Linked DNA regions of Arabidopsis thaliana. The protein of the gene in region 3 interacts with the protein of the main gene of each other region in a pairwise test. Each region holds a gene or a part of one and is shown on either strand. Other genes may lie near its edges.

Evidence for each region.
Region 1: the proteins of FRS12 (region 3) and bZIP43 interact in a two-hybrid assay, tested with the Arabidopsis thaliana proteins (one large-scale study listed by BioGRID).
Region 2: the proteins of FRS12 (region 3) and HAT2 interact in a two-hybrid assay, tested with the Arabidopsis thaliana proteins (one large-scale study listed by BioGRID).

Annotation. Positions count from the first base shown.
Region 1 is NC_003076.8:15,537,633-15,540,792, forward strand, and holds bZIP43 (basic leucine-zipper 43), read right to left. Parts: upstream 1,258-3,160; 5' UTR 1,171-1,257; coding exon 673-1,170; 3' UTR 509-672; downstream 1-508. Other genes in the region: AT5G38810 (F-box and associated interaction domains-containing protein), read right to left, coding at 2,974-3,160. UniProt on the Arabidopsis thaliana protein: Probable transcription factor involved in somatic embryogenesis. Acts as a positive regulator of BHLH109.
Region 2 is NC_003076.8:19,215,735-19,219,577, reverse strand, and holds HAT2 (Homeobox-leucine zipper protein 4 (HB-4) / HD-ZIP protein), read left to right. Parts: upstream 1-1,570; 5' UTR 1,571-1,930; coding exon 1,931-2,081; intron 2,082-2,216; coding exon 2,217-2,527; intron 2,528-2,610; coding exon 2,611-2,690; intron 2,691-2,786; coding exon 2,787-3,096; 3' UTR 3,097-3,307; downstream 3,308-3,843. Other genes in the region: AT5G47360 (Tetratricopeptide repeat (TPR)-like superfamily protein), read left to right, coding at 3,700-3,843. UniProt on the Arabidopsis thaliana protein: Probable transcription factor that plays a role in auxin-mediated morphogenesis. Negatively regulates lateral root elongation.
Region 3 is NC_003076.8:6,328,657-6,334,150, reverse strand, and holds FRS12 (FAR1-related sequence 12), read right to left. Parts: upstream 3,855-5,494; 5' UTR 3,596-3,854; coding exon 3,588-3,595; intron 3,439-3,587; coding exon 1,080-3,438; 3' UTR 1,062-1,079; intron 941-1,061; 3' UTR 501-940; downstream 1-500. Other genes in the region: AT5G18970 (AWPM-19-like family protein), read left to right, coding at 1-48, 159-204, 315-437; AT5G18950 (Tetratricopeptide repeat (TPR)-like superfamily protein), read left to right, coding at 4,181-5,494. UniProt on the Arabidopsis thaliana protein: Putative transcription activator involved in regulating light control of development.

The DNA.
Region 1 (3,160 bases), 9.2 Mb from region 3:
TCTTGCAAAACCTCAGTCCATGCACTACCAATACAAGGTACTAAAATAAAATAAAATACAAGGTACTAAAATACTACAGATAAAAGCTCTTCTTTGCTTGACATAATTAGATTTACGAGAGTTTCACACACAAGTACACAACCATGTAAGGTCTTAATTGTTTTTGTTTGCGTTAGATTTACGTATTTGCTTTTCATATTCTTATTATTTTAATCACAATCTTAATTCTTTTCTTAATAATTTTTCAACATAAAAATGCAAATGGAAATGGAAGAAAATAAACCGTTTACGGCTGGTGTATATTTTTTTCAAAGACACTACTTAAGCCAATTTAGAAAGAACAAAATTGGTCATTATAAACGTAAAATTTTAAAGAGAAAAAGAAGAAAGTCTACTGTTAGTAATTGATGCTTGTATTTACATTTTGCAAAAATATTTATGCATGTAATTTTTTTTAAAATTATACTTCAGCAATGTGAATTTTTATCGTTTGTTATGCAAACAATTGTGAAACAATTTCTTACTTCTATTCACGGGCAACACAAGTTTGAAGAACTCTGCTTTAACAATTACTAATTTAGAGTCTTAATTAAATCTTAAGCTGAGACAGATCTCTGGATATACATTTGTTGATACATACTAGAGCCCCAAAAAAATAAAAATAAAAATCATCTATACAACGTCGTCGTCGTCTCTGATGCAAGAGAAAGGACTCTGATTCTGAAGCTGCATATCACTAATCATTTGCTTAAGCTCAGTGGTTTCCTCTTTGAGCTGAACATTCTCTTCAATAACCTTCTCTTGAGACTCTAAAACGCAGTTAAGCTTACGAAGCAGCTGATGATTCTCATCCCTAAGCCACATCACCTGTGACCAAAGCTCATCCACTTGTCTCTGCTTCCTCATACGCGATCTTCTTGCCGATTCTCTGTTAGATATCTTCCTCTTTTGCTTCCTCTCATTTATTATCTCCTTATGATTCTCTTCTGCTTCATCTGAGGTCGAGTTGTTGCTGCTGATCAAACTCATGAACTGTGAAGTGTTCACGCCAGTTTCGAAGCTGAAGAATGGATTAGGGTTTTGTCCGCAAAATGGTGAGGATGTAGGAATATGGGAAAGGTACGAAGGTGGACAACCATGGAGGCTAAAAATGTTGGTGGATGGTTGCATTATCGGTGGAGACTTGGGACGCAAGGTAGGGTTTACTCTTAGGTGATGGAAGAAAAGAAAGATTGTAGGATTTAGGGAATTGTGATGAATGTTTGGTGTGTGTGGTGAGAAGAGGTGTTCATATAGACTAGTAGGGGGACAATTGTGGACCATGGTTTCTTCATTTGGGTCAAACCAATATAAAAGCATCTAACAATCATGCAGCTAAAACGTGTATTTATATAACTTTATTTATTATTTAAAAACACGATCTATTTTTTCACCTATAAAATTATTGAACTACTTAGAACGAAATCTAAATAACTTATTTTTTAAAGCCTGTCTAAGATTTATTAGAAGTTGGTTGAAGTCTTAGGGTGAAAAATGGCTTTGTAAATGAATGATTGGGATTAATTGAGTTTTTCTTTTCTTTCAATGGCTAGGAAACAAATTGTTTTTTTTTTGTTGTGTGGAAATTTCAAATATCTTTCAACTTATTTTTTAAAACCTATCTAAAATTTATGAGAACTTGGTTGAATTTTTGGGGTGGAAAATGGTTGTGTGTAAATGAATGACTGGGAATAATTGAGATTTTTCTTTCTCTCAATGGCTAGGAAACAAATTTGTGTTTTTTTTTTTGGAAATTTAAAATAACTTTCAACTTATTTTTCTGCAAAATAGTAGATAAATAAATTGAACAAACTACTTTTATAATTTGGTCAATTTTTTTCAATTTTGAGTTGAATGAATTAAATCATTTTTTAATAATTTATTCATCTTAAATAGTAAACGTTTGGAGAAATTTCAAAATGTCCATTTTCTAATACCGTACCACCACTTTTTGAAAATGACTTCTATCTAAAATCTTTTAAATATTTTATTATATTAAGCTTGGTTTAATATATATACATGTAAAATTACACATTTAGAAAAAAGTAATTAAAGCATATAATATTTTATAGAAGTGTCGGATTGACACATATAGCAATCATGCGTAATTCTTCATTTTCGTCGTATTTTGCTAAAAGTTCGACCTATGTAATTAGATTCTGTTAGGGGAAGGGTGGTGATTTTGAAATTTAACCTTTTGAAACCCAAGAAACATATGGGCTTTTATAACCATCCAAATTTATATTATCTTTAATTTTTTTTTAGTGTTGTTAGAAAAAAAAAAAAATATTACGTGATGGACTTAATTAGTACTAGAGGAAAGCATCTCATCAAGAAGAACAGAAGAAGCATAAACAGACCTATGAATGAGACCTTGAAAAGGTTGAGAGAAAACAAATTTAAGAAGCTAAGTGTCCAATTCTTTTGCATATTTGATGTGTTCGTTTAGTTTTAATAAAGCATAAATCTTTGTTCATAAGATCTCAACAGAAAATGAACTACAAATCTCTAATCAATCTACAGTGGTATTCATATCACATGACTTTCTTGTTTTAACATCAATTCTGACAATTCAACTATTCAATCATTGACCACATCGGTTTCTTAACAATCAAGTTATTGGATATAGAGAGCCCTCTTCACCTAGGTAAAACCTCATAGGCCTTTTGATAACCATACAAAAAAATATTAGTTTGCTCTCACTCTACGCCAACAGGGTGATAAAGCTCACACGTAAGTAACCTGTAAATGACAAGTAACACTCTTAACCAAAATAGCTTGACTCGTTGGCTTGGCTTTCAAGATAAGATCCTCACTCTGAGTTACCTAGTAAATCGTACTTGTTCTGCAGGAGGATTGCCTGCTTGTTCTTTACATGTCGACGTTGTTGTGGTTTTGACTTGAGTTGCTTCGAATCGTCAATACTAAGATCCTCTATATAGTCAAAGGCAAAAACATTGCGAAAATATTGTCGTTTCTAATCCGATTGACCTTAATCTTCGGCAAGGAGTAGATATACTGTGACCATTCCTGTTTCTCAACATCCTCTAGAACCCACACACACAACTCACGGGGATGTCCATCACCAGCATCACACTCCAATTTAGTCACACCTAATTTA
Region 2 (3,843 bases), about 13 Mb from region 3:
CATCATGCTTTGCGGACTCTCTTTTTCGTTGAGGGGTAAATGATTACAAATAAACATGCGCGCGTGGATATAACGCACTTGGTCAGTGCGTGTGGCACAAGTCAGAGTGAACACGTGGGACAGCCAGATCACACTGAAACACAACTCCGACATCTTGTCGGATCTTATGTAAAGCGTTGGGTCCCACTTTTCATAATATCTCTCACCACGAAACCCATCTTTTTGCTCTCAATTATTGTCGCTCATTGCCGTATCTCTTCATAATTTCACTATATACATGTCTACGTTAGGCGGAAATTATTAAATTGTTTTTGGAATTTTAGTTTACATGTTATTTTTTTCTAAATAAACATGAAATATATTTACAAAAGTATATCCAAACCATCATTTTTTTATTGTTTACATATACACTAATGACACTTTTATTTGGATTGTGAATTATGATTATGCAACGATCACTAGTAGTTTACTAGAACAATTAAGTTTACATGCTTCAGGCATTGTAAAACAACTATTTACAAAAACTGAAGTTAGTCTACAACTAGTTTTTGTGAAAAGAAAGGAATATTAGACGATAAAAAAGTAGGCAGCAGTTAAAGGAATCAAATAATTAACAAGTTAGCATTGATTGAGGCGGATGGTTACACATGATAAGGAGCAGGCGAGTGAGGAAACAACACAACACGCACGATCACGCTGTTATGACCCACATGCTCCTATCTCCATGTTACTGTACGCAAAGTGGTTATACATTTACACACACTTGACCAATATTGCTCACATTTAAATTTTTATTTCTAAAGGAAAAAGCACAAACATTTAAAGGTTTTACTGACGGAAGAAACGAAAAAAAGTAGTAGCTTTAAAATGTCATTGTTGATGAAAGTAGAAACCATGATGATGATATTTATGTGCAAATATTCATCTCACACGTATATCATTGGTTCATAACCGTTGGTTGGTCCACAACTTTGAACAAGTTCAGATTCTTTTTGATTGTGTTTTGTACCAACCACTCCAATTAGTCAATATTCCATTATATCCAACCTCAAATACTATTTTCCCTTTTCTCTTTAAAAAATATTTGGACAAATAATTGGCTACACTATTGGAGATTTGACTCAGCTCGGTATGCCGTAACTAATCAAGATACTATTTTCTATACTTTCTTTTATTGATATCCACATAATACATGTACTTTGAGTATAATGACGTGTACTTGATTAAGACAAAACGAAGTACGAGAATTATTGTATTTATCAACTTTGAGACATACTACATGATATGGATCATGAAAATTAACACAAGTAGTGCAAATTGCGTTATCCATATACAAAAAACATCGCACCTTGATGATTCACTTAATTGTAGATTACTTTCTCAGAGTGGTCCGGACATTTCTATTGGTTTTAAAGACATTGGCTTTAAATCTTCAGACACAAAACACATATACATGTGTACACTTGAAAACATATTGGCCATCTTATTTGTTTTGGACAAACTGCCATCTTATTATGCATGGGTTCTTGTAAGGAATAAACTAAAAATGTTTGTGAAAGAAAAAGAAAAACACAAATATTGAGAAAGTACAAAAAGAAAGACATGGCAAAGGCCAAAGGGGGGACACAAGTTGGAGATAAAGTAATACAAGTCCAAAAACAAAGAAACAATAATGATGGATTGTAATTAGCCACCTGACAAAATCTCTCATCATTCAAAGTACTATATTAATCCCCTCTCTTCTTCATTACCATCTCACATCTCTCTCTATTTCTCTTCCACAAAGAGTCCTAACTTCGAGTTGAAACAAACACCATTTCTCATCTCTATCTCAGAAAGAACAAACCATTTCGTGTTCTTTCTTTCTCTATTCTCATAAGGAAATATAATTCCTGAAACTGTTGAGTTCTTGTGAAAGGAAATAAAAAACATGATGATGGGCAAAGAAGATCTAGGTTTGAGCCTAAGCTTAGGGTTTTCACAAAATCACAATCCTCTTCAGATGAATCTGAATCCTAACTCTTCATTATCAAACAATCTCCAGAGACTCCCATGGAACCAAACATTCGATCCTACATCAGGTATATACTTAAATCTTCTCTGTTTTTTTTTTTAAAGAAACAGAACAGATTTCAGAATTGAAGTATGAGACTTTTCTTCGTTTCCAAGTAAAATAAAAACAGATCTCAAACTTAAAATTTGATTGCTCTTTGCAGATCTTCGCAAGATAGACGTGAACAGTTTTCCATCAACGGTTAACTGCGAGGAAGACACAGGAGTTTCGTCACCAAACAGTACGATCTCAAGCACCATTAGCGGGAAGAGAAGTGAGAGAGAAGGAATCTCCGGAACCGGCGTTGGCTCCGGCGACGATCACGACGAGATCACTCCGGATCGAGGGTACTCACGTGGAACCTCAGATGAAGAAGAAGACGGGGGCGAAACGTCGAGGAAGAAGCTCAGGTTATCAAAAGATCAGTCTGCTTTTCTCGAAGAGACTTTCAAAGAACACAACACTCTCAATCCCGTAAGTGTAAAAAAGTCAGAGGAATCAAATGATAATTATCGTAATTACTTTGAAATAACCAAGGTTATTATCATAATTTACAGAAACAGAAGCTAGCTTTGGCTAAGAAGCTGAACTTGACGGCAAGACAAGTGGAAGTGTGGTTCCAAAACAGAAGAGCTAGGTGAGATTTTCTTGTCTTAACACCAAAATTGTAAAATTACATTTATACCCCCTTGTGTAGAAGTTTTTACTTACAAGGTCCGATTTGGTTTTACAGAACCAAGTTAAAGCAAACGGAGGTAGATTGCGAATACTTGAAACGGTGCGTAGAGAAGCTAACGGAAGAGAACCGGAGACTTCAGAAAGAGGCTATGGAGCTTCGAACTCTCAAGCTGTCTCCACAATTCTACGGTCAGATGACTCCACCAACTACACTCATCATGTGTCCTTCGTGCGAGCGTGTGGGTGGCCCATCATCATCGAACCATCACCACAATCACAGGCCCGTTTCTATCAATCCGTGGGTTGCTTGTGCTGGTCAGGTGGCTCATGGGCTGAATTTTGAAGCCTTGCGTCCACGATCGTGATTTTTTATTTTAGTGGTGGGAAAAGGGTGTTTTGGTATTTTTCGTTATCGTTATATAGTCTATCTGTGTGGGGTCATTGTAATTTTGGATGATTGGCCTTCTCATGAACTAGTCCTATGTATGATGCAACCTTAAAAAGATTTAAATTAGCAAAAATTAGTTACAAACTTGCTATATTAACCAAAAATTATGAAACTATCTTTTTTTGATATCTTACAAGAGTTCTAAATTAAACCAAAAATTCACAAACGTCTTCTAGATAAATACACAGTTTCTGAGCATGGTATAAGTGTAGCTTATATGCAGTTGCTCAAAAAAGAAAAGAAAAAGAAGTGTAGCTTATTTGAAGTTCTTAACGAAATCATGAAATCTTGTGACCTAATCTGACTTCAATTGCTTTTCCGATTCAGATCTGACAAAGATGTATGAGCAATTCTTATTGGGTCTTAATGGGCTACATTATTATGTCGGCCCATACGTTTAGTCTTTCGTCGTCGTTTCCATCTGCGAAAGCGAAACTCTCCTATTTCTCTCACTCAAGTCTCATTCTTACGATTTTCTTAACGAAATCTTTCATCAATCGCTACACTTATAGCGACCCAGATGCCAAATTCATTGATTTCTCGTCTGGTATCTCCTTCATTACGATCTCAGCCCTCAAAAATCTCAGCTTTACGTTTTTTAACAACTGTCTCAGCCGCCGAGAGATTATACGGCCAGCTTCAAGGATGCACAAGTAATCTCGAG
Region 3 (5,494 bases):
CGCGGCTTCCTCTCTAATCTCCTGGTCTCTCACTCTCCTCGCCATGGGGTAAACAAACTTAACCATCCGGTTTTTATTAAATTAAACCGGTTTTAATCCGGTTCAGTTTCTTTTCATTCTCCTTAAACCAAATCTAAACCGATATGATGTTGATACAGATTGGCCTGCAAGGAGATCAACATAGGCTGGACCGAAGCCAATCTAGTGAGCTTTTTACTCTCTGATTTAAAATTTAATTCTAAGAAACTGAATTTGTAAACTGTTTTTCTACGGATACTTATCATGTTTTGTGTTTTGTTGATTCTTTTTTGCAGAGAACTCTTGAAGTTCTGACTATAATTGTGAGTGCTACTCAGTTGTTGTGCACCGGAGCTATTCATGCTGGAGTCGGAGAAACAGTCGCCTCCGGAGAAAGGCCTCATCTTGGGAGAGTTTGAGTTTCATGATTCTTCTTAAAAGCGGTTTTACATTTGCTTCAGATCGTGTAATTTGTGTGTTGTGTCTTGTGTGTGTTTATTCTTTTGTTTTGTTTGATTATTATGATCATGTAAAATGATTAGTTGGTGTGAAGAAAAAAAAGAAAAGAGATTGATAATAATATTACACATTACATTCTTTGCAACAACTTAGCATCAAACGATTTGATACTCTAAACATGATCTGCATCTTCCCCGCCCACTCCCAAAATAACAAAATCCTAATTCTTATCAGTTCTCACTTTCTCAGATCCTCTGGAACAAGCAACATAAACAAACACACAAGAGAACAAACATGTCACCGGAAGCGTCGTCATTACAATGATGATTATCATTAGGAACCACAATGACCACAAAACTCCCACCTCCACCACCACCTCTTGCATCGACGATGTTATCAAAAAGGTTAAGATTAAGTAACGGCGACCAAGACTTTATCTTCTTCAAGGGTAAAGCAAAAACACCTACAGCAACGATAACAACCTCTTTAGTTCTTTCATTTCTCACACTAGAATCTTCAACAACTTTCAGACATGATACGGATGATCTTTAATTTCAGACATCAATGAAGAAGATTGATCTTACATGGTCAAGCCGAGTTCATCATCTCTGCCAACAAAGTTTCTTCCCACCCTCACGCATAATTTCATAAGCAAGCTTATACTTCTCCAGAGACGATGTCCCAAACTCTATGTACTTAGAAGCAGCTTCCCTCAAACTCCAAACCATCAAGGCCTTGAGATCCTGAGCACTCACGCCTGATTCCATATCACGCACAAACCCAAACTCTGCGTTCTTGGTCCATCGGTGCAGTATATACCGAGACGGGAGCTCTCTTATGTCCAGCAGATTAAACACTTTTAAGATATGTCGACACAGAAGTCCTTCGTGCTCAAACATTTGACAGCTGCAACTCGAATTGAGATTCGACGCACTGAAAGTCACGGCGTGTTTCTCACTCTCGTTCCCACATTTCCTCACCAAGAACCTACTGATTGCTCCTTCTTCATAAGTCTTTAAACAGAGATAATTGTAAGATTGGACGAGCTCGTTCTGGAAGATTCTGAAGACGGTAAGCGTGTAGAGTCTTCTGCATTGTTCTTCCACCGGTTCTTTTGTCTGTAGAAACGGCTGCAAGTTGTAAGAATTGAAATCCTCTTTTCTTTCCTCTTCCCTTCTCTGCTCGAGTGCTTGTTCATATCGAGAAATGAATTCTCTGAGAGGCGTTAGAGCGTCAAGTGAAGCACCAAAAAAGGGCTCAATGGTTCCGTTTATTGGGATTCCAGCGAAGAAACTTGCTCTTAGATACGCGGGAACCCAATTCTCTCGTTGTTCGTAGATTTCTCTGAGCCAAACATCGTCTCTAAGACCATATTTGTTGATGAGAGCGCTCCAAACTGAGTCAAACTCGACTATTGTCTGAGTCTGGTATATACATTTCTCATATTCATACTTAAACTCGCTTGGAAACGGTATGAGGTTTTCCCGCTCTTTTTCCCTAATTTGCCAAGCTGAGTACCGATGATGTGCCCCGGGAAAGACTTGGACCAAAGCTTGCTGGATAGGCAAATCTTGATCAGCTACAATGGATCTAGGACGACGACCCGACATGGCACGAAGCCATGTCTGGAACAACCATAAGAAAGCCTCTTTAGACTCGTCAGCAACCATAGCACAACCAAGAAGTACGGGTTGCCTATGATGGTTAAAACCGATGATAGTAGCAAACGGAACAGAGTAGCTTCCTTTTCTGTATGAAGTATCGAAAACAACGGAATCACCAAACTGACTGCAAGCAAATCTTGCTCGGCTATCCGCCCAGAAAATGCTCATGCAACTTCCATTATTGACATCCAATTCGACAGCGTAAAAGAATCCCATGTCTTCGGTTTGTCTAGACTGGAAATAATCGAGAAGCAGCGGATACCATTCTTTACCAATCCTGTTTTCTCGAGTTTTCTTGATATGGTTGTTGCCGAAGTCGTTTAGTTCAATAAGATCAACAGAATCCAATCCTCCTGTCCCATCGTCCGGTATCTTTTTCATACCAGCGTCATTCTTCTTCCCTGGTTCAAGGTCATGATTATGATCTTTATTGAGACGGTCAACAATCCAACCACCAGAGTCTTGTCTTTTAATCCTCATGTAAGCTCCACAACCCATTCTTGAAGGATGCTGAAACCCTTCTCTTGAACAAACAAACCGTCTTGATGTGATCGAACCGTCAACTTTGGATCGAAACAACTGACCTATACGAACTCTAAACCCAACAACTTCCGCATACGCCTGATAAAACTGGCACGCTTCATTAGCTGAACCAAACTCCAACCCTGCATACGGCTCAGTACCCGTAACCGCTTTAGCTTGCTGTGTTTGATGATGATCATCACTCACTTCTCCTTCACCACCACCACCTTTAAACCGCTTAAAACCACCAGGGCAGGACCGTGTTTCTCTATCAGACTCATCAACAACTTTCATTTTGGGTCTATGTGGATTGACAGTAACACCTAGCTTTGTAGGAGCTGGAGCTCTCGAAGGTCGCGGAGTCGTTTCCTCAACACTACCTTCACCTCCAAGCTCATGGTTATGCTCTTTTTGTATCTGGTCAAGAACCCATTTCCCTGTATCACGTCTCTGCACACGAATAAACGCGGTACATCCAGTTCTCGAATTCAGCTGAAAACCTTCTTTCGAACAAACAAACCTCCTAGACGAAACCGTACCATCAGTTCTTGATCTATACAACTGACCAGTCCTAACCTTAAACCCCGTCCTAGCAGCGTAAGCGTTGTAGAACTCACGAGCTTCCTCTGCAGTATCGAATTCTAGACCCACATAAGGTTCAACTCCTGAACCTCCTTCTTCATCTTCACTAATACCATTGTTGTGATGCAAAATCCGTACAGGATATGATGATTTAGCAACCATATTGTTGAAACTAGTAAGCTCAGTATCTACACTGCAATTGAAAACATAACAATTTTCAAAACTTGAAGCTTTACAAGAAGATTCGAAATCTAAGTACACTTATCTAATTGAAGCCAACGAACACAAGAACGGAGATATGAAATTCAGGGAAATAAATAGAAACAAAAATCAGAAAACTACCTCTCCATTCTCGTCGAAGCGACCACCAAAGACCAAACGAATCGGTAAAGGACGGAGATTGCGAGAAAGCTTGAAACTTTCAGCTAGATGTCGTCGATTGGAATTTACTAAAAGGATTCATTTCATGACCTTCCACATTCTCTTTGCGCGGGAAATTGAGGGTGGTAGGAACCAAATTAATTAGGGATTTCAGCGAAGACGATAGATAGATAGATAGATACAGAGAGAGAAGAAGAAGAAGCTAAAGCAAAGCAAGCACCTTTTTTTATCCGTCAAATTGACCTCTTTTTTATTTTTTTTTTAAAAGCAAGACCAATCTAAAAATTGATGTCGTCATAACATTATTGACAAATTATATTTGATGCTGTAATAAACTTTGTTTAATTATTCTTATTTACTCCAAAGTCCAAACCTTTTTCATCATCTCCTGGAAATGACACAGAAAGATCCAAATCTAGGGTTCCGGTGATAAGTATTCGACTTTCTTTTCCCGGAATAAAAAATTCACCTCCTTTCTTCTACAATTTGCTTCTGGCTCTCTTTGGAGCTTGATTTCGAGTTTGCCCACGAGTTTTTTGAGTTAGTGATACGCCATGAGTAGAGGTCAGTCGTATTTGATTAGCTTCTTTAGAAACCGAACTCGAAAGAACCCTAATACCCAGATACGGAGTCTAACTGTCGAGTCTCGTGATTGTGAATCCAAGCCCGATGAGCAAAAATCGGCTGTGAGTTATACGGAGATGGCTAAAACTGTGTCTACCATCATGAGAGAGAGACAGAGATGGCAACAAACTCTGGTATCTGATTTTCCTTCGTTTGATTTCGCTGATCCTCTGTTTTTCGGCGAACTGTTGAAATCTCAGAACAATGTTCTGTTTTCTCTGTGGTTTTTCCGGTGGTTGTGTTCCAATTATGATTACACACCTGGTCCTGTTTCTTTGAATATTCTCTTTGGTGCCCTTTTGGATGGAAAAGCCGTGAAAGCTGCGAAGAGTTTTCTCGATACCACTGGCTTTAAACCTGAGCCTACGTTATTAGAGCAATACGTGAAGTGTCTTAGTGAAGAAGGGTTGGTAGAGGAAGCTATTGAAGTGTATAATGTACTGAAAGATATGGGAATTAGTTCTTCAGTTGTGACTTGCAATTCTGTTTTATTAGGTTGCTTGAAAGCGAGGAAACTCGATCGGTTTTGGGAACTTCATAAGGAAATGGTAGAATCTGAGTTTGATTCAGAGAGGATTCGGTGTTTGATTCGAGCTTTGTGTGATGGTGGGGATGTTTCAGAAGGCTATGAGCTTTTGAAGCAGGGATTGAAACAAGGGCTTGATCCAGGACAGTATGTGTATGCTAAACTGATATCTGGATTCTGTGAGATTGGGAACTATGCTTGTATGTCGGAGGTTCTTCATACGATGATAGCGTGGAACCATTTCCCGAGTATGTATATATACCAGAAGATTATAAAGGGGTTGTGTATGAATAAGAAGCAGCTTGAGGCTTATTGTATATTCAAGAATCTGAAAGATAAAGGCTATGCACCTGATAGAGTTGTGTATACTACGATGATTCGAGGATTCTGTGAGAAGGGATGGTTAGGGAGCGCGAGGAAGCTTTGGTTTGAGATGATAAAGAAAGGGATGCGACCAAACGAGTTCGCTTACAATGTGATGATACACGGGCATTTTAAAAGAGGCGAAATTTCGCTTGTTGAAGCATTCTACAATGAGATGTTGAGAAATGGCTATGGAGGAACAATGTTAAGCTGCAATACGATGATAAAGGGTTTCTGCTCACATGGAAAATCAGACGAGGCCTTCGAGATTTTCAAGAATATGTCTGAAACCGGGGTTACACCGAATGCAATCACGTATAACGCTTTGATAAAAGGATTTTGCAAAGAAAACAAG